Linked DNA regions of Rattus norvegicus. The protein of the gene in region 1 purifies or fractionates together with the protein of each later gene. This does not show direct contact. Links are inferred from orthologs where the notes say so. Each region holds a gene or a part of one and is shown on either strand. Other genes may lie near its edges. The genes, in order: Spsb4 and Cul5.

Region 1 (10,487 bases):
AGGGTGAATGAGACCTGACTGCCTGGTCTGGAAGCCGATGGATCATTTGGAAGCTTTTCTTGCTAAGAACACTAAATCAGATGGGTATTTCATTAAAAGATGATCACTCAGAATGAAACAACCAACAGCGAATAAACTATGGAACCCCCAGGGCTTTAATCATAGATGTCCATTAGATTTTTCCCATAATGCCCACAGAGAGCTCAGGCTACAACTGGCTAGGTCGGCCTTTCTCGCCCAGCACTCATAAAAGCAACCATCTGTCCAGCCCAGATGGGGCCCACTCCTGCCTCCTGCCGGTCCCATCTTCCTAGAGCTCAATCAATGAGGCTTCCCCGGCCTTGTCTCCTCCTGGGGTTTCCATGGGAATCCTCCTCCCACACAGAGTCCAAGGCTCCTGGGATAAAAGCTCAGCTGTCAGCCAGCAAGAACAGGAGCTGGGAGGGAGGAGGCTTGCTGGGTGGTAACCAGGCCTGCATGCTCTCCAAGGTCATTTGAAAGAGACATAGCAGAGATCCAGTGGGGCAAGGAGCAGTCCTGGTCAAGGTGTGGTTGCCCCAGGTGCCTGTGGCTTGTTTCTTTGTAGGATAGCTGTCCCCTGTGAGGCCCAGCATTGGTTCAAGCTGAGGCAAAAAAGTATGGCAAAACAATCTGAGGAGGGTACTGCCAGTGAGACCCTCGAAGAAAATGTCTACTAAAAGAACCCACTAGTCTGCATGTCCAATCTGTCCTTTATCTCCCAAGATGAGTGTAACTCCCTGGATGTAACGGCTTGTTTGAAAACAGGTTTCCTGGAAGAAAAGCACATGGCTAATCCAGAGGACTGCAATGGGGACTCATGAACACCTCTGGTAAACTTGAGGCATCTTTGCGGGTGTGTGTTGAATACTAGATTTGGAAAGAGGGAAGAGAAGAAAGGAAGATGCAGGCAGAGTGGGGAGGGGGCCCCACATTCGAGGAGAAGTGTTTTCATCCTGAGGGCTCAATCACTCCCTCATTTACAGACCGTGGCTCACAGTGGGATGTCTTTATAGGCCAGCGAACTGGGCCAAGCTCACTCATGTCTGGAAAAGGCAGAGATTGTGGCTCACCATAAACTCAGTTCTCCAGATCACAACCCAGATAGACGCTGCGGGCGCCACTCTGCACTCGGGAAGTGGAGTGTCTACACCAACTTTCCTGCCGGCACTACAAGTACAGCCCCACAAGGCAGCTCTGCCTGGGCTCTGCCTCTTCCTCTCTGTGTATCCTTTCTTAAAATTTGCCCTTCCAGCGCTCTAAGGACGTCTCCAGTCCGGCCTGCCCTCCCTCAAGTAGACTCTGGTCACTCTAGATGCTCCTTAAATGACTTTGTAGTGTTTCCTTTCCATCCTGAGCTTCCTCCTGAGCTCTTGTCTACCTTCTCAGTGCTGCACATTGGCACATCTGGGGTCCACTAGAACTTGAGAATCGTGTGTCTTGGGGATGGGCTCTGCTTCTTCCATTGCCCATAACCCAGGTTCCCATCTATGGCTCCGAACCAATAACTTTTTTACTTCCTCTCGGTTTACACCTTAGCACGGTGGTTCTCAACCTGTGCATCATGACCTCTCAATCCTTCCTATCAGATATCATTATGATTCATAACAGTCGAAAAATTACAGTAATGAGGTAGCAACTCAAATAACTGTATGGTTGGAAGTCACCACAATACGAGGAGCTGTATTTAAGATCCTAAAGCAGAATTAGGAAGGTTGAGAACCACTACCTGACAGGATTACTAAAGCAGGCTCTGAGTGAGGGCCTGTGATTCTCTAACCCACCCCGCCTTGCCACCAAAAGGCTAAACCCCATCAAGCCGCCTGTCACCTGCTCATTCAAGCATGCACCCTTTGAGCTGACACCCAAGGGTGTCACAGTCAACCTCTCCTTGTAGCCTTTCTCTAACCAGGATGCCAAACTCTCAAGTCAGCGTACCGCTTCCTACCACAAGCATCTGGAACCTGCTGACCTTCACTGCCTACATTCCCTCACTCCTGTGCCCACCACAGCATCCTCCTCCATCTCTCCATCCCAAGATGTTATCCTAAACGTCTAGTCCCGCTGACACCCCCTGCATCATGTGCTATTCCTAGAAGGCGAGCCAGTGCCCAGCTAATTGCCCCCATCTTCTAAGCCATGTACACACTACCTGTCTGCAGCAAGGTATTTGCCAGAACCAGGTACTCCAATCCTAACACTTGGGAAGAGGGCCTGGAGGATTCAGAGTTTAGGGCCAGCCTGGGCTACACTGTGAGTTCTAGTTCAGCATGGGCTGCAAGTTGAGAGCCATCTCAAAAAAAAAATGCTTGTTGGACTGAATAATTTGTGTTTTTACCATCAAGTGTTTTTTTTCCCCCCACAACTGAAGTGCACATTTGAAGCATGGATTAAGTTCCAAATTCAACGTGTGAAGCAAGAATCCTGAGCAATCAACACTCCACAAAGTTTACGACGGCTCAGCTGGGGTCTTTCCCAAAGGATGGGCCACACTGCTGCGTTCTGCAGCTTCTGAGCAGATCCCTGGGTCTGTCTGAGCAGCAGCAGGAAAGAAAGCCAGCCCCTCACGGAGGGGCCATGTTTTATTTAAATGCGCTGCTAGATTTTTAATTTTTTCTTATTGATCTTTTTGCCAAGTATGAGTGATCGTGTTCACACAAGTTAAGTGCACACATAAGTACTTTAAAAAAAAATGATTACCAGGAAAGACTTCTAATGGACCTAGCCAGCTAAGTCCCTCGAACCTCCTGATTTTCCACATCCAGTTTCTTGTTCTATCTAGGGAGCTCCTGGAGATCTTTTGTTACCGTGCCAACAGAGGAGGGCCCTCTCAGGAGCACCGATGTGTGGCAGTGAGCCAGTTGGCTTAGCAAAAAATTAACAAACCGGGGCATGGGGTGCTGCACTGGGCCTTTCCCTCAAAGGGCAAAGACCTTGCCTGGGGCCTGAGCCTAGCCACATCCTGGGACATCCCTGAAGGATGACAAGGCTGCCGTCCTATAACCAACTGGGGGTAGGAGTGGAAATCAGGAAAGGAACAAGCCCTGGAGTGTTGGAGCAAAACCAAGATCTTAGGCCAGGGTTTCAGGGGTGGGGAAGGGAAAAGTGACAGAGAAGATGGTATCGGTGGTAGCCAGGCCTAGAGGGCATACCCTGCCTTTACTCCTAGAGGTCTTGAGGAAGTTCTAGCTAGAGAGGAATTTGGTCTATTTACAGTTTTGAGGATAAGCGCTCCTTGCTGGTGAACTGGCTATTACTATTGCTGATCTGATGTCTGAAAAATGGAATCTTACTTACGGCTTCAACACACATTTTTCTTATTGAGTGTGGTAAGGCACTAGGTTTTCGTGTTATCTCTGTTCCACTCTCTCTGTGTGAATTGTCTGTAGTCTTTGTCCTTAGGGGCTCCTCCTTGTCTTGATTCTTTACACAGTTTAGACTGAGGCTAGAGCTCGGGGGTGGAGTGCCTGTCTAGCATGCACAAAGTCCTGGGTTCCACTCCCGGCACCCCCCCCCCCAATCTGTTCCAAATTGGAAGCTATGAAACCATGGCAGCATCCCCCCCCAGATTTACCTGACTGCTTCTGGCAAGTTTTTTTTTTCCTTGCAGATTGTATTGCTATGGCACTGATTCTTTAAAATCGAAGAGAAATGAAAACTGAAGAGATATTTGCATGGCATGGCTGGTGAGTCTATTTTGGTCGCAGCTTGCCAAAAGTGGCTTAAATTCTCTTTACCACCTTTGCTGTGGAAATCTGAAACATGGAATCAGGGTGTGTGCGTGCGTGTGTCTCAAAAACTGCGGCTGCCCGTGTAAAGGATGTCTATACCACACTTGTGACATTTTGCTGTTCTACAAGGAGGGTTTAAACCAATAAACCCTAAACCAATATTGAATGGTTTGGGAGAGCTAGCGGAGGGGAGAGTTTGAAGGATCCTCCATCATCCTGAGTAATAGAAACTTGTAGTTTAAAGACCGAGGTGTCAAAGCGAGGAAACAGATCTGAAGCCTCAGGCGCTAGTCGCTTTCCACAGGGCACAGTGGGAGAGTGAACCTTCCCATAATCCGTGGCATCTCTTCTAGATCTAGATAGACTCTAAACTGTTTGAGACAGATGAATGGAAGGATAAGAGGCGTTCACACCCAAATCGCGGAGTAGGGGGAGGGAGAGGAGCGAGGAGAGGGGGAAGAAGGGGGAGGGGGAGGGGAAGCACAGAAGAGCAGCAGACCTTAGAAGAACTGCTCAAGGTCACACCGCGGGATAGTGCTGAAAGCCGAATTCGAATCCAAGCCCGGAACTGCAGGACTGAAAGTTCCAGAGAGAGAGCCACACAAACGTGCCCTCTTCTCTCTTCTTGACTCAGCAGCCCTCGCTTGGCCACCGGGCGGTGGGAATCACACTTCCTGGGCCTTTCCAGCCAGGGGTTTGGGGTCCCTTGTTTTTCCCGGCTCAACAGAAGTGGACTTATTTGCCGCACTTAGGGCTTTGGCTTCCTTCCTGTTTCCCAGAGCCCCTGAGCCACCCATTCTTTCCAAGTTTGTCCCGCAGCCAGGCTGGGGACCGTCCGCGAGCGGCTCCCGGACTGGGCAATCAGTCTTCCCTACTCCAGCGTCGGAGGTGAACCATAACAATCATCACCAGCGCCTGCTGATTGCTCGGCGCTTTACTCCCAACGCTCCAAAAGCCACAGACCAGCAGACCCCTAGAAATTACTGTCCTCGCCACACAGATGAGGCAGCTCTGGGAAACTGGGTGATGTGCTTAGACTCAAAAAGCTAAGATTAACGCTAGTTAGTGCCTAAGTGCTTTCTGAATGCCAGGCGCAGGTCTCCGCACCAACCCAGCAGTTCCCTCCAACACTCTAGTATAAAGGATTCAATTATCATCCCCATCCTACGGATGAGGAAACCGAGGTTGCGGTGCCTGGCCTAAGGTCACCCCGGAGAGTGACGGATGTACGACCGGAACATAATCCGGTGAGTCTGCGCTCAGTGTGTGTGTGTGTGTGTGTGTGTGTGTGTGTGTGTGTGTGTGGTCTCCACTACACCGAGAGCAGCGATTTCAAACCTACAGTACCAGAGGCTGGGCTCAGTGCAACGCCCGAAGCTAGGCGCAAACCAACCAGCTAGGATTGCCACAATTCGCGGAGACATTTCCACCGACCCGGACCATTGAGTCCCCAAGAGCACCGGTGTGACCCGTACCGGCGTGTGATCACCCCTTAGCAGGAGCTGGAGAGCACTTACCATAAAAGAGAAGACGAGCGCCCGCCTGGGAGGAATCCCCAGCGCTGGCAGGTCCGGGACTCCCGGGAGAGAGGTCTGCTGCCACTGCCGCCCACTCAGGGGCGCCCGAGCGACCCCGCGGATGCTGGCTGCTGCTTCTCAGTCAGCGACGCGTCCTCTCAGTTGTACCCGGCGGCAGCGCCCTCTCTCTCCGCAGGGTGCCCTGGAGTTAGGGACGTTCTTGGAGAAGTTGACGCTCAGGAGAGGCGAGTGGCCGCCGAGGTCCAGTCCCGAGTGGTGAAGTGCCCGACTACGCTGATCTCAGAGGGGCGCGGAAGCCCTTGCCCTGGTGGCCCTAAAGCTTGGCGCCTGACCTGGAGGGCGACGAATCTCGCACTCAGGGCACTCGGGCCTCACCTCGGCCGCTCGTCCCCGGAGCACCCGGTTTCTTCCCCAGAGCACCGAGCACACGCCTGGAGGGCTGCAGCGGTGGCCAGGGCCCGGGCTGCTGTGCGCTCATTGCCTTCCCCAGGGGCTGGGCGCCTTTGTGCGCGGGGCGCGCCGACCGCCAGGGCCAGCTCTGGATGCTGCAGCCGCCGCCTCCCCCACCTCCTACACGGCCGCTCGCTCCCCGCCTTCCCGGCCGGCCCGGAGGCTGCAGCTGAAAGCCGATCCGGCTGAGCTCATCCCTGAAGGCCACTAATCCAATAGCCGCGGAAGGCGCGGCCGCCGGGAACGCCCCTTCCCCCACCATCCCGCGCCCGGGCCGTCCCAGCTCGGGCGGCTCTCGGCTCTGCCACCTTCAGGAGGCCACCAGCTGGCGGGAAAGGGAAGTGGAACCCGCGCCCGGGCCCCTGGGCCGAAGTGGCGCGGACGCCATTCACTCATCTGCCGGCTGGCTGGCCTAGACACTCGCTCACACACGCGCTCATTCATGCGCACGGGTCCTCCCCCATTCATTCAAGCGTGCCTGGAGAGCCATGGTGGGTGTCCCTGGGGGCGGGGATGAAGAGAGCAGACATCACGGTTGCCAGATAGCTTTGGTGCCTGTATTCAAGGCCTGCGGGAAACAGCGACTGGGAAAGAGAATGCTTTAATATAACCCCTTGCCTTAGGCACACACATGTCCGCACTTTATTTCTGAGACCAGACTCCAACTCATCTTTCAGAATCCAATTTCACGCAGCACCTGCTCCACAGTGCCTTTCCCCGCCCACCTGAGGCCAGAGAGAAGATTCATTGCTCAGAGGGCTACTGGCGCTGATGGTGGGCGGCTCCCTCGTTAGCCAGAACATAGAGATAAGAGGGTGTGGCCAGAGCGAGGGATGCTCTGTATCTCTCCACTTAGGCTTCCTTGGGGAAAACGAAGTTTCCAGGTCAGTGCATCTTGCTTTCGATGCCAGAGTTGACATTAGGTCCATTCCATAGTCTTAACTGACCTCACTTCTCAGAAAATGTCCTTTTTTTTTTTCATGGACACAGAAGACAAGCACCTGTAATTCAACCCTGTGAGGGAAATGTGTTGACCCAGGTTCCGGAGTTCCTCTCCCAGACTGTGGAGGGCGATTTGGAAGTGTCTGCATGAAGTAGCTGCTAGACGCAGAGGCATCATAGTCTCATGGTAACAGCCTGTGGTACGACTGGAGTCAAAACAAGAGGTAAGATGAAACGAGAGTGGGTACTTAGGGTCTTGGAGAGCCTCCAAAGGCTTGGCTTTTCCCCAAGATCAGTTTGGCAGGCCTCTTGACCTTCACAGATTTGCTGTCCAGAAAGATAATCCGGTGGCGGTGTGGATAGATGGATGAATAGCACAGGACAGCTTGGAAGCTGCCTCAGAAGTCCAAGACGTAAACGATGCTTTGCCAATTAGGACAGCTCAGTGGTGTGGCAAAGGGGTATCCTGAGCAAGTATTTACAGCGCTCGCGATTTGTGCTACTTCATCTGTGTCTGCATGTCTGTCTCTTTGTACCTGTGTGTCTCTGTCCTTGGGACTGCACAGTTAAAAGAATGTGATGTGACCCATGCACATATTTCCTTGTTCCCCTCGAGTCCCCTCCCTCCTCAGGACGCTTCTGGAGTACGTGCTCTGACCTCGGCTGTGGTGCTGACAGAGCTGGACAGCAAGAAATGAGGACGGAGGAAAACTCAGAGCAAAGGGGAACTTAAGCAAGACTTTGCAAGGACTGGAGAGGTGACTCAGATGGTTAAGAGTACTTTCAGTTCAACTGGGTAGTGGTGATGCACGCCTTTAAACCCCAGCCCTCAGAAGGCAGTGGCAGTCAGATCTCTGAGTTCAAGGCCAGCCTAGTCTACAGAGTGAGTTCCAATACAGCCGTGGCTACCCAGAGAAAACCTGTCTCAAACAAACAAACAAACAAACAAACAAACAAACAAACAGTACTTTCTGCTCCTGCAGAGGACCAGGGTTCAGTTCCCAGCACTCACATGGTAGTTCACAGTTATCCAGAATATCAATCAGTTCCAGGGGATCAGACTCCTTCTTCTGACGTCCATTGGCCCCGGACATGTATATGGTGCACGTACATTCATGCAGGCAAAACACTCATACACTTAAAATAAACCTTAAAATAAATACCCAAGACTCTGCAGCTGATGGTTTCTCCACCTGGATCCCAATACAACTGCCAACGGGCATTTCTTCTTTCTTTCTGGAAGGACCTCACAATAGCTTAAGAACAAGGCAAGGAAGGATCAGGCGCAACAATTTGAGAAACTACTTCCCCAAACACACACCTGTGTGCCAGATAGGTTCACTCCACAGGCCTTTACAAATGTGACTTGCCTTAGGTATCAAGAAATGTGTACAACAGTACCCCTAAGTATCACTAAAGTTCCCCAAGTCCTCCACCCCCTGAATAGCGTGTGATATGTCTCCATGTTTGAAATGTGGACAAATGTCTGTTCATTCCAGATAAGGTATCCACGGCAGATCAGGGAAATTATCCCACCCAAGCCTACTTTGGTGATCCAGTAAATGTATTGGTGTTACTTACTGGCGTCGGAGGCACAAAGTCATCACTAAAAAGCCCACCCCAGCATGGACGGCAAGTTGATCTGTGTGCCTGCACAGCTAGCAATCAGAGGAGTCGCCACACCCCAGCTTTTACAAGCTTGAGAAGGAGCCTTGTGAATCTTGTAACTTTCATGAGCTTCTATGAAAGCCTTCTATGTTTTATTAGCTTCCTGAGTATTAGTTTAAAAAAATAAAAAGTCTTAGTAAACCTCTCTCCTCCCGCTCTGAGAGCATGTTTCAATTCAGAGGAAACAACCACACAGGAAGAAACAATTGCCACTTGAGGAATAGCCTGGATAACCTGATCTTTAAACTGAAGTTGGAAGCCTATAAACTGATCTCTGATAACCCTTGTCCCTGGATTGCCACATTCTGACTTCCTTTCACTGAAGTGCAGGCTGGACTCCCTGTCTCGATGTTCACAAATAGAACACGGTAGGACAGACACGCTGTTCCTTCTGCGATTGGATAAGGAAAAGGCCAGCAACTCTGGGCACATGTCATCTCTTTTGCTCTTTTGGCTTTTGCCCCCACAAAGGAAGCCAGGTAGTGTGGGGAAACTTGGTGAGGGACTGAGGTCTGCCACCATGGGACTGAACTAGGTAGCACATCCCTCCTTGACTGAGCCTTCCTATCTGGCTGAGGTCCTTTCGGTGCCTTGACTATACTCAAGACAACTGAATCAGAGGCACAAACTAAGCCACACTGATTCTTGACTGGAAATGCTGAGAAAACAATTATGAATCTTGGGATTGTTTGCTAATCAGCATCATATAACTAATACAAGATATTCTTAACTGCCAAGGAGTGGATCTAAAGTAAATCCTTGATAAACTCAGTATGGTCTCACTCCAAAGAACACACACTATTTTATGGACATATAGCTGTTGCTTGGCTATAGGTTTAAAAATCTCAGTTTAGACATGTGTGCTTTTAGCCTCCTCATTTGAAAAACAGGGTGTCTTAATTTGATGTCTATTACTATGAAGAGATGCCATGCTAGAACAACTCTTATCAAGGGAAATATTTAACTACAGCTTGCTTACAGTTCAGTCCATTATTGTCATGGCGGGAAACATGGCAACATGCAGGTCCACATGATTTGGAGAGACAGCTACATGCAGATCAGCAGACAGTGGGAGGTGAACGGCACACTAGACCTGGCTTGAGCATCTGAGACCTCAAAGCCCACCCCTTAGCAATCCACTTCCTCCAACAAAGCCACACCTACTCCAACAAGGCCTTATCTCCTAATAGTGCCACTCCCTATGAACCTATTGGGACCATTTTCAATCAAACCACCACAATGGGAAAGAATATATTCTTCTGAGAGTGGTTTTTATGTCGTAGCATATCACAAAGTTGATATTCGGTCTTTTTCTTATGCTGCTTATCAGGAGACCAAAATCTACAACATTAGAATTTTGGAATAAGGAAGATTCATGCCTGAAGTAGAAGGTTGTCTTAGTTAGGGTTTTACTGCTGTGAACAGACACCATGACCAAGGCAAGTCTTATAAAGGGCAACATTTAATTGGGGCTGGCTTACAGGTTCAGAGGTTCAGTCCAGTATCATCAAGGCTTGAACAAGGAAGCATCCAGGCAGTCATGGTACAGGAGGAGCTGAGAGTTCTTCATCTTCATTTGAAGGCTGCTAGTGGAAGACTGACTTCCAAGCAGCTACGGTGAGGATCTTAACCCCATACCCACAGTGATACATCTACTCCAACCAGGTCGCACCTCCTAATCGTGCCACTCCCCGGGCCAAGCATATACAAACCATCACAAAGGTCTTTAAGATTGTGTCTAAATCTCTCTTTTAGGTGTTTCATCCACACAGATTTATGCAGCACAGTGCGATAAGTGGACACATGAGAACCATGAACTGGCCTTCTTCAGCCTCTGCTTCTTCAGGTCTTGGTTTGCTGTCTACTGCCTAGGTGTCAGCTGTCAAACTCTGGAGTCTTCCTTGGTATCACACATTCAACATGGTTTCCTTGGTCTTGCAGAAGCACTTAGCATGGTTTTATGGCAGCTGAGGAAAATCCGTGAGTCCTGTGGCATTTTAGAGTGCAGAGTTTGCTGGAAGGAGGTTTGTGGCAGGGTAGGAGAAAGGGCATTTGGGGCTGCCTGTCTTCAACAGGAATAGACTGCACAACCTGACCTACAGCACAGTATGACTCAGGGCGGGCTGAGAGGGGGTGTCAA
Region 2 (9,153 bases), about 44 Mb from region 1:
TAGTCCAGCACACTAAGTATTACCAGGATTCCGTTGTCTGGCGAAAGGTGTTTATTTCATGCAAGTTCTTTCATGCTAGAAATGTCTATCCTAAACACACCCAGCTGTTTCAATCTTCAATGCCTCTAAACTCCATTCTTGTCTGTATGAGTCTGGGCTCTTTACCAGGGAGTTAACTTTCTAATGCAGCTCTCTGTAAAGCCTGTTTCCTTTGGTGGTGGGGTGTACTTTCCTCATTAAGATACTCTAGCAAAATGCCTTGGGTTCGAATGCCAAAGCTTTGGAATGCACTTGTAGAAGAAGGCCTAAAATCTAATCATAATTATTAATCTTAATTTTTGATCTTGGCTCAGGTTAAATACTTTTTTTGTAGCTTCAATTCCCAGTCACCCCTATTCCTCAACTCCCACAATTCTAGTGAAGGCAAAAGTTTGAGCCTTTAGAAAGCCATGTGTTCATTCACCCAACTGTCATGTCTTGCTGCTGGTCTTCATGGTGGCTAAAATGTGCTACTCTATCCCAACACATAACAAGATGTTCTTCACTGAGGCAGTCTCCCTGTGCCTGTCCATGTTAGTCCTGAGCTGGGCCTGAACCATCCACTACCACATCTTCCCAAGCAGCTGGATGACAAGCAGCAGCCCTACCCGACGGAAACAATTTTCACTGATGTTAAAGACAGGCTAGCCCTGACTGGCCTGCAACTGGTCAGTACACCAGGCTGATCTTGAACTCAGAGATCCTCTGCCCCTGTCTCTAGAATGCTAGGATTGAAGGTACATGATACTGCCCTGGCTTGCCAAAAATTTTTAACTGTTGTAAAATTTTTATGGTAGAACATCAAGATTTTCTGGATAGATGAAATGTTTTATATTACACTTTTATTTTGCAAGAAAATAAATTATACAACTTAAAAAATAAAATCCAAAAATTAAGCAGTTCATCAAAATATTTCAGCCTACTGCATACAGAAACTGCTACCATGGAAAACTGTACAGTGTCATCTCAGTATGGAGTGGTGCACATTCAAAACTGTACAGGTCAGGACGAGAGACTACACCTCAGGAACTCCAGACCACACATAGTGTAGATGACAGGAACGCTCTCAAACAATGTTTCTCTCATAACTGTGACCTTGGGAAAACTTGTGGCAGCATCCCAGTCATTCACACAAAGACAGAAGAGCCAGCTTGAGTTTATGACAGCAAACTTTCTGTAGACTTAGCAAATATATCACCAGATTGAATTGAAAAATGTGCCCTTGCAGCAGAGCTAATGATACCAGTCAATCTAATGGAGTTTAAAAAATAAGAATGATTAACAGTTCACTTTTTTGGTGACTTTAATATTTGTGCACAGAGTAAGAGCTTTCAATGAACAGGCTGGTAAACTCAGGGATCTCCTCCAATAACTGCAAAAATTGGGAGACTTCAGAATTTAGTTGAAGATTCTTATAAAATTATTAGAATGAGGGCCTCATGTTTGTCTAACTGTACACATCGATGAGTCTATCCTTTCCACTGGGCGAATTTGTTCCGTCTCCTTACTATGGCTGTGAGATGGTGACAGGTTAGCATTTACAGACAGTGCCACCTAAGATAGAGAGAAGTACTCAAACCTCTGAGCAAGCCACATCATTCATTTAAAAATGCCTCTCTGGTGTTGAGTGGGAAGCTGGGCTTTCCCTCCCCTCACCTGTGACGTGTTTGGCCCTGCTCAGATAGCAAGAATATAAAGTCTGCAGGGAAGAGAGATCAGATAGGGAACACTGTGTCAGTGGTTCTGGACCTTCAGAAAACTCTTGCTGTGTAAGATCTGTTTCAGGATTTTTTAAAATTTTCAAATCTATTCATAAAACATTTAAAGAAAATCTCAACAATGGTATAGGCACCTTGTCAACTAAATAGTTTTGATAAACACCAAAACGTAGTTACACTTTTGTATATATATACTTTAAAAAAAGGATGAAAACTGTTAAGTCTGTGGTATTTACTGCTGCTCATTCCCCAAAATACAATTAGGACATAATTAACTATTAAAAAATTTATAAAAATTTAATAAAAAACTTTGCTATGGATTTAGTGTTACCCACTTTGCATTAAGTTTGCCTTTATAAATCAAAACATCGCAGCTCTCATTCTTAAATGACCAAAGCGATTAGAAATTTCAAAGATGTTCTAAGAAAAATTATGGTTTAAAATGACAAATCTTAAACATTAAGAAATGGCCTAAAATTTTTCCCTTGATTGTTTCTTCCTTTGGCATTCTGGTATTGGGAGAGGAAAATTTGCCAACACCAAGCTATTAAACAGAAGGGCCACAGTCGTTATAAAACTATCCCTCTGAATCTGGATGTACCATCATCCACGCGGTACGGCAGCAAGCACTGAGTTTGCTCTTCACTCCTGCTCCACATCACCTCAGAGCTGCAGGGCAGACGGGAAGCACACATGCACTCCAGCTTCCTATGAGTTTCAGAACAGATATTCGACTATAATTATCAAAACCTTAAACATCTAACATATACTTTATTTCCTTCCAGCAAGGAGCTCCCAAGCTGAGCAGCAGGCGAACCCACAGCCCACTGTGGTGATGTAATACTGTATGCTTCAACACTCCGTGTTCTACTGTATGCTTCAACACTCGTGTTCTACTGTATGCTTCTCAACACTCCATGTTCTGTCAGCTTCAGAACCAGACTTCAAAATACTACTTAACATCAAAAGTTCTAAAATTTGCAAGAAAACTTGAAACGTGCACCACAATGAGTAAAAATCCACAGGGAGCCATCTTTCCTGCTGGGGAATAATTCTCTTCAGTTGCTTGAGTCCTCAGTTTCCAACTTCCCACTGCTCTGTCTGTGAGGTCCTGAGTCACCGCTCTGGATTAACGAGAGGAGCAAGGTAGGTGTTGCCCTCTAAACATTTTAAAAATGTTTATTTTTAAAATATATAAATATATATGTACATATTTGGCAAGGTTACTGCTCACGTTAGGACTAGCAACTCTTGAGTGCTTTGCAGGTTGCAGGTCGTAATCTTACCTTTCTTCCTGCTAAGTGGCGGGTAATTATTACTTTTAAATAGAGAATGTCTTTCCAGAAAACTGAGGTGGTAAATTCCTAATCACAACACTTTCAATCACCAAATAATTCTATGCTACAGGTTAAGAAAGCAATTCTCTCACTGTACTGTATCAGAATATTTCTGCATTGTTTTCAACAAATTTAGGTACAGTATAGTAAATATTAGGTGTATAAGTATTAAGTGTATTAGTAACACACTTAACATGTTTACTTCGGGATTCTGATTTCTGTAATCAGTGATGTACCTAAACCCATAAATTTTTAACTGAAACAACATTGACTATAAACTTCATGTTTTCAAAACAAGCTCTCCAGCCATACAAAGTCTAAAAAGAAAATCCCACATCTTCATGTTTAACAACAAATGACTAAACAGCACTCTCCTGCTCAGTGAAAATCAGCATTTGTAAGGTAGAAATATTTAATACCAGTTTCCGTTACCATTAAGATCCAGTCACTAAAGTGAAAGCAGTGTTTGACAAACAGCTCAACACTGGCACACTGTCTTCTCAAGTGTGCCTGCCCTTGCCCAACAGTGTTGACAATTCACTCTGCATCAAAAGAAGCTGAGTGCTGCCTCTAGCTTTAATTGCATTAAAAAAAAAAAAAAACCCAAAAATAACAAACCAACAAAAAACCCCAGCATTTCTCAGTGCATGAGTATCTGAAAATCCTTCCTTGTGTAAGTATATTCCTTTAAAGAGGAAAGGGGGATAAAAGAAGCAAAAGGAACCCCACCCTCACCCTTCCAAAATGTTATTTCTCTGGGTGGGTAAAAATTGAATTGACTTTGAAAGTTCATAATGGGCTCTTCATGAATGCAATTTTCTCCACAAAACAGCATGCTGTTAAAGAGTGTGCAACATGAAGGGATTGCCATCATGCTGACTAATGTGACTGGCAAAATATAGTCGCTTTGTAAGGTAAGGCAGAGTTTAATATTTATGTAATCAAAGTCCAAATAAACCTTCCTCCAGCTCAGCCTGGGACAACCTTCTGCCCAGGTCTCCAGATGTGTAGCTGCGGCAGGCTGGATTCAGCTACGCCATGTATATGAAGGTGTTGATGTCGGCCTCATCCCTCCTGATGTACTTGTGCTCGATCAGCCATTCGATTTGCTCTTTTATCATTTTCTTCTGTGGTAAGAACATGTTTTTCAAAATTTCTACTAATTCAGTCTGCAGCTGAGCATTGCTAATTTTCTTCCTCATTTTCATTATTTGTATGATGGCTTCCTAAGAGGAAAAGGGAAAAGGAAAGTACATGAATACATTCAACTAGTTTGAGCAAAGCAAATCAGTAACATTTCCTATGTTATCTCCTAACACCAGCCACACTGTACGGCCCCTAGCTATTCACCTGGAGACTTAATCAGCAGCTACAATTTTTTTCCCCTTGCACTTATTACAAAGATTTTGAAAGTAAAGGAAGCCAAAATTAACCTATAATCTCTACTGTTTTATAAAAATTAATATGCATTTGAATGCTTGACTCCCTGTATGACTTTGTACCACATACATGTCTGGTGCCTGAAAAGGCGGAATAGTCATGAGCAAATCTGTGGGTGCTGTTAACATAGCTCAGTGGATAAAGGTGCTTGTTGCACCATCTTAATGCACGATGACCTGAGTTCAACCCCTAGGACCAACAAAGTGGAAAAATAGTATCAAATCTTGAAAAGTTGTGTTCTAACTTATACATACACATATGATCACACACACATACAAATAAATGCAATAAGACACAGGACTCCACCTACACAAATTTGCCTCTAATATTAGGGTGTCTCTTTGTATAACAGGAGAACCATGAATGTCTAGTCTTAAAAATCTGTAAACACCTGGGTTCGGTCCCCAGCTTCGAAAAAAAGAACCAAAAAAAAAAAAAAAAAAAATCTGTAAACACTACTCTCTATATTAACTAGACTAATAATACAGTGATAGCAATATTTACCACAGATCCTGTCTTTACTTCTATTGATTTAATTCATGTTTCTGACATTTAAATGTTTCTAAAGAAATCAACATATTCCACCTAAGTCAATTTTATCAATATGGTCTTAGTGATTTTTAAACTACATAGAAGTTGGCAATGACATTACCTGAAAACTAGACTTCCTGTAATCATTATTAAAGTTTAGCTTCCCTTAGGCAACAAGGTGGCTCAGTGGATACTACAATTTTGTATAAAGGAAATAGAAGAGATGCAGTTGGTTCTCTGTATCTGTGTGCTCCACACTACAGACTGACTGAGCAGCAGAATCATGAGCTGATTATGGTGGCCTTTAATCCCAGTCAGATCTGAGTCCACAGAGTGAGTTCCAGGACAACCTGGGCTACACAGAGAAACCCTGTCTCAAAAACGAAACCAAACCAACAAAACAACCAACCACAAAAATGTAATTAGGCTTATGAGAGCTGCGTCTGTATTAAGCACACAAACTTAAACCACAGAGCATGGGGACTAGTCACACAGCACTTATACTGTATTAGGTGCTATGATGACCTAGAGATTACTTAAATATATGGTATAAAATATGTAGGGGCGTATTCAGGCACTACACATTCTATACAAGAACTGTGAGCACTGAGATTCTGGGACGTGCAGGAAACCCTTGGACTTTTTCCTGTGGACAACGTATTAACACCTGACAGCAACAATGCAAACACACTCGGGAACCCGCAGGTTCAGCAGGGTAAAATCCCTTCCACTTTTCAGCTCTCCTGTACAGGCATGACAGTCTGTCATTGATACTACATGATCTGCGATGCATCCAGTTACAAGCTTTCATACATTGTTTTTACAAGACGCTTTTAACTGTTATCATTGCACATCATTACATGTTACATGTTTACAAGCACACGCCAGAGCAGGAGTGTGGAAGTCAGAAGGCTTTCTAACAGCAGCTCTCTCTCCATCTGGTGGTTGGCTGGTTGGTATTCTTGAGGCAGGGTTTGTTTCTCTGTGTGGCCCTGGCTGTCGTGGAATTCACTCTATACATCTGTAAATGGCCTTCTGGGATTAAACTAAGATCACCAGGTTTCTGTTACCTGATGAGTCAGTCATCTTGTCCAATGATACCAGGCTTTTGATCAGATTATAAATAGGGCTTTATGTCAAAAATATAAAGGAAAACAAAAACAGTAAGTCTGTCCATCTAGGAATGTGAAGATTGTAGGACCATGAAAACTTTTAATCTTTCTTCGTGCTTCAAACTGTATGGCATTCACCAAAATTTCAAATAATACTAAATAAAAACTGTAAAAGTACAACCAAAAAAGCAGCCCTGTTAAAAGACTTTTTTTCTTTAATTAAAATAACCATCAGTTTGCAATTCATTAGAAGTTTTAAGAACTTGTTTGTTGTGTACACATGCACATGTGCCCATAGGAGAGCGCCTCTCGCTCTCTTCTACATGCGAAGGTTGGAAGACAACTGTGGACTTGAGTCGGTTTCTTCCTTACATCAAGTGAACTGCTGGGACTGAACTCAGGTTGTCAATTACACCACCTACCGCACGATCTCGCCAGCTCTGTTTCCCTGTATGTTGTATTCATTTCCGGGTAGTGGAGACGAGGAGAACGACCTCGCTAAGGAGCCTCTCTCCTTCTGACAGCGCAAGCTGTCAGCTTGCTGTCAAATATCTACGAACTGAGCCACCTTACCTTTCTAGTAATAAATATTTTTACCATGTTCAGAAGCCATCATAATCCTAATTTTAACACATTTTTCAAAGGAAAATATACCAGATAATGTTTCTTAGTTCTAAATAAAAAACATTTCCTAAGGGCACATTACATTTCAGAATTCAATATAGTTTTAAATACTTCAGTTCTGCAAGTTCTCAGCTGTGGCTGAGATACATGTACTCAGTAGGGTATCAAAAAGAGACATAAATAAAAACCAAGGTTTTATCCAAACAATACATCAGAACTTATTACAAACCTCCAATCCAAAAGAGCATTTCTGGTAGCAGAGAGAATTAACTAATTTAATTTTTAATTACTAATAAAATGAGCATTAGCTCTTATTTATGAATAAATGACTTTCGTGTTTTTTATCCACTGTTGGAAGGGTTTTGTTTGGTGTTTTGGAGGCAGGCTCTCCCTAGACAGCTCTGGCTGCCCCGAATCCTCTATAGGTCAGGCCTTAAACTCAGAGATCAGTCTGCCTCAAATTCCACAGAGTGAGGTTAAAAGAATATGTCATGGGCTGGAGAGATGGCTCAGAGGTTAAGAGCACCGACTGCTCTTCCAGAGGTCCTGAGTTCAATTCCCAGCAACCACATGGTGGCTCACAACCATATGTAATGGGATCTGATGCCCTCTTCTGGTGTATCTGAAGAGAGCTACAGTGTACTTGTATATGATAAATAAATAAATCTTTAAAAAAAGAAAATGTCACTATGCCCCATTCTGAATACTCGTTTTTTTTGTTTTTGTCTTTTTAAAGAAGCTTGAAAATTTTGGTCATTCTTTTTTTCCCCCCTACGTGGAGAAGTTTAATGAGAGAAGAGGAGAGGAGAGGAGAGGAAAGGTTGGCCATGGGACACGTGGAGGGAAGGGGGTGGGGGGTGGAGAGAGAAGGGACAGGAATAGAGGGGAAGAGAGCAGAGAAGCAAAGAACAAAGAACAAGAGAGAAAATTTGGTGGATGCTTCACTCCTTTAAAAGGGGAGCAAAAATATCCATAGGAGGGAATAGGGAGGCAAAGTTTAGAGCAGAGACAGAAGGAACAGCCATTCAGAGCCTGCCCCAAATGTGGCCCATACATATACAGTCACCACACTAGATAAGATGGATGAAGCAAAGAAGTGCATGCTGACAGGAACCAGATATAGATGTCTCCTGAGAACATGACAGCCAGAACATGTCAAATACAGAGGCGAATGCTAGCAGCAAACCACTGAACTGAGAATGGGATCCCTGTTGGAGGAGTTAGAAAAAGGACTGAAAGAGCTGAAGGGGCTTAAGACCCCATATGAACAACAATGCCAACCAACCAGAGCTTCCAGGGACTAAACCACTACCGAAAGAGTATACCTGGACTGACCCATGGCTCCAACTGCATATGTAGCAGAGAATAGCCTAGTAAGGGCACCAGTGGAAGGGGAAGCCCTTGATCCAGGCAAGGTTGGACCCCCAGTGTAGGGGAATGTCAGGGGGGAGGGCAGTAAGGGGGGGTGAATAAGGAGGGGAACACTCATATAGAAGGGAAAGGGGAGGGGTTGGGGGCTGAAGGACAGGAAACCGGGAAAGGGAATTAACACTGGAAATACCCAATGTAATAAAAATTGAAAAAAAAAGAGGGAAGTTGAACATTTTTTCTCCCTATACCAACCTGGGTTCTTAATATTCTTAGTTGAACTATTCCTTCATTTTCTTCTTCTCTCATCCGTTCTGTAGTGAGCTGCAAGCGTCCAATCAAATTGATTTTTCCCCTTTTCTGTACTTTTGCATTTTTTCTACAAAAAAAATCAAAAATGTTAAACATTTACTGCAGCACAATGTCTGAAGTTTTAGAAGCATCGTTAGACATTATCACTCAGAACTGTAGGAAAGTGAAGTGATAGCATGCAGCTTTACTCTGAGCAGTCCCTATGCCTATCACGGTGGCCCTGGTCTACAGTCACCTGCAATCCTAGTGAGGGAAGCTGCCCAGAAGGATCTTGATTGCTTTGAGGCTAGGCTATCTGTTGCAAACAAAATTTTTTTAAAAAAATGTGATCCTTCAAACAAGACCTAGCCTCTGATGACTAGGGACCAGATCCCTCAAAACATTAATTTCACTGCCACGAGAATAATAATTAAAGCAAAAGCAAAAAGGTTTTATACAGCATTATCTGATTGAATCTTCAGATAAACAGCTCTGCCTACATAAAGCTGTTTTACCCACTCCCTCTCTCTTTTGGTCTTTACTTTCAATTAAAAAATAAAATGGCATGTCTCCATCTGTGCCTAGAGCTGGGGCTGTCTCACAGCCCTCAGACCCAAAACCAGCCCAGAGACACCTGGTCTGCCATGAGCGCTTGCACTCCTATGCCCACAGGTGGGACTCCACTTTCTTTTC

What was found.
Region 2: the proteins of Spsb4 (region 1) and Cul5 purify together in Homo sapiens (co-immunoprecipitation; 4 studies listed by BioGRID and IntAct, counting the BioPlex papers as one, with this or other methods). This does not show direct contact. The link is inferred for Rattus norvegicus from reciprocal best matches to the Homo sapiens genes SPSB4 and CUL5.

What each region holds. Positions count from the first base shown.
Region 1 is NC_086026.1:106,483,451-106,493,937, forward strand, and holds the start of Spsb4 (SPRY domain-containing SOCS box protein 4), read right to left. Parts: upstream 5,822-10,487; 5' UTR 5,267-5,821; intron 1-5,266. UniProt on the Homo sapiens protein: Substrate recognition component of a SCF-like ECS (Elongin BC-CUL2/5-SOCS-box protein) E3 ubiquitin-protein ligase complex which mediates the ubiquitination and subsequent proteasomal degradation of target proteins.
Region 2 is NC_086026.1:62,908,286-62,917,438, forward strand, and holds the end of Cul5 (cullin-5), read right to left. Parts: intron 8,549-9,153; coding exon 8,425-8,548; intron 4,321-8,424; coding exon 4,126-4,320; 3' UTR 3,908-4,125; downstream 1-3,907. UniProt on the Homo sapiens protein: Core component of multiple cullin-5-RING E3 ubiquitin-protein ligase complexes (ECS complexes, also named CRL5 complexes), which mediate the ubiquitination and subsequent proteasomal degradation of target proteins.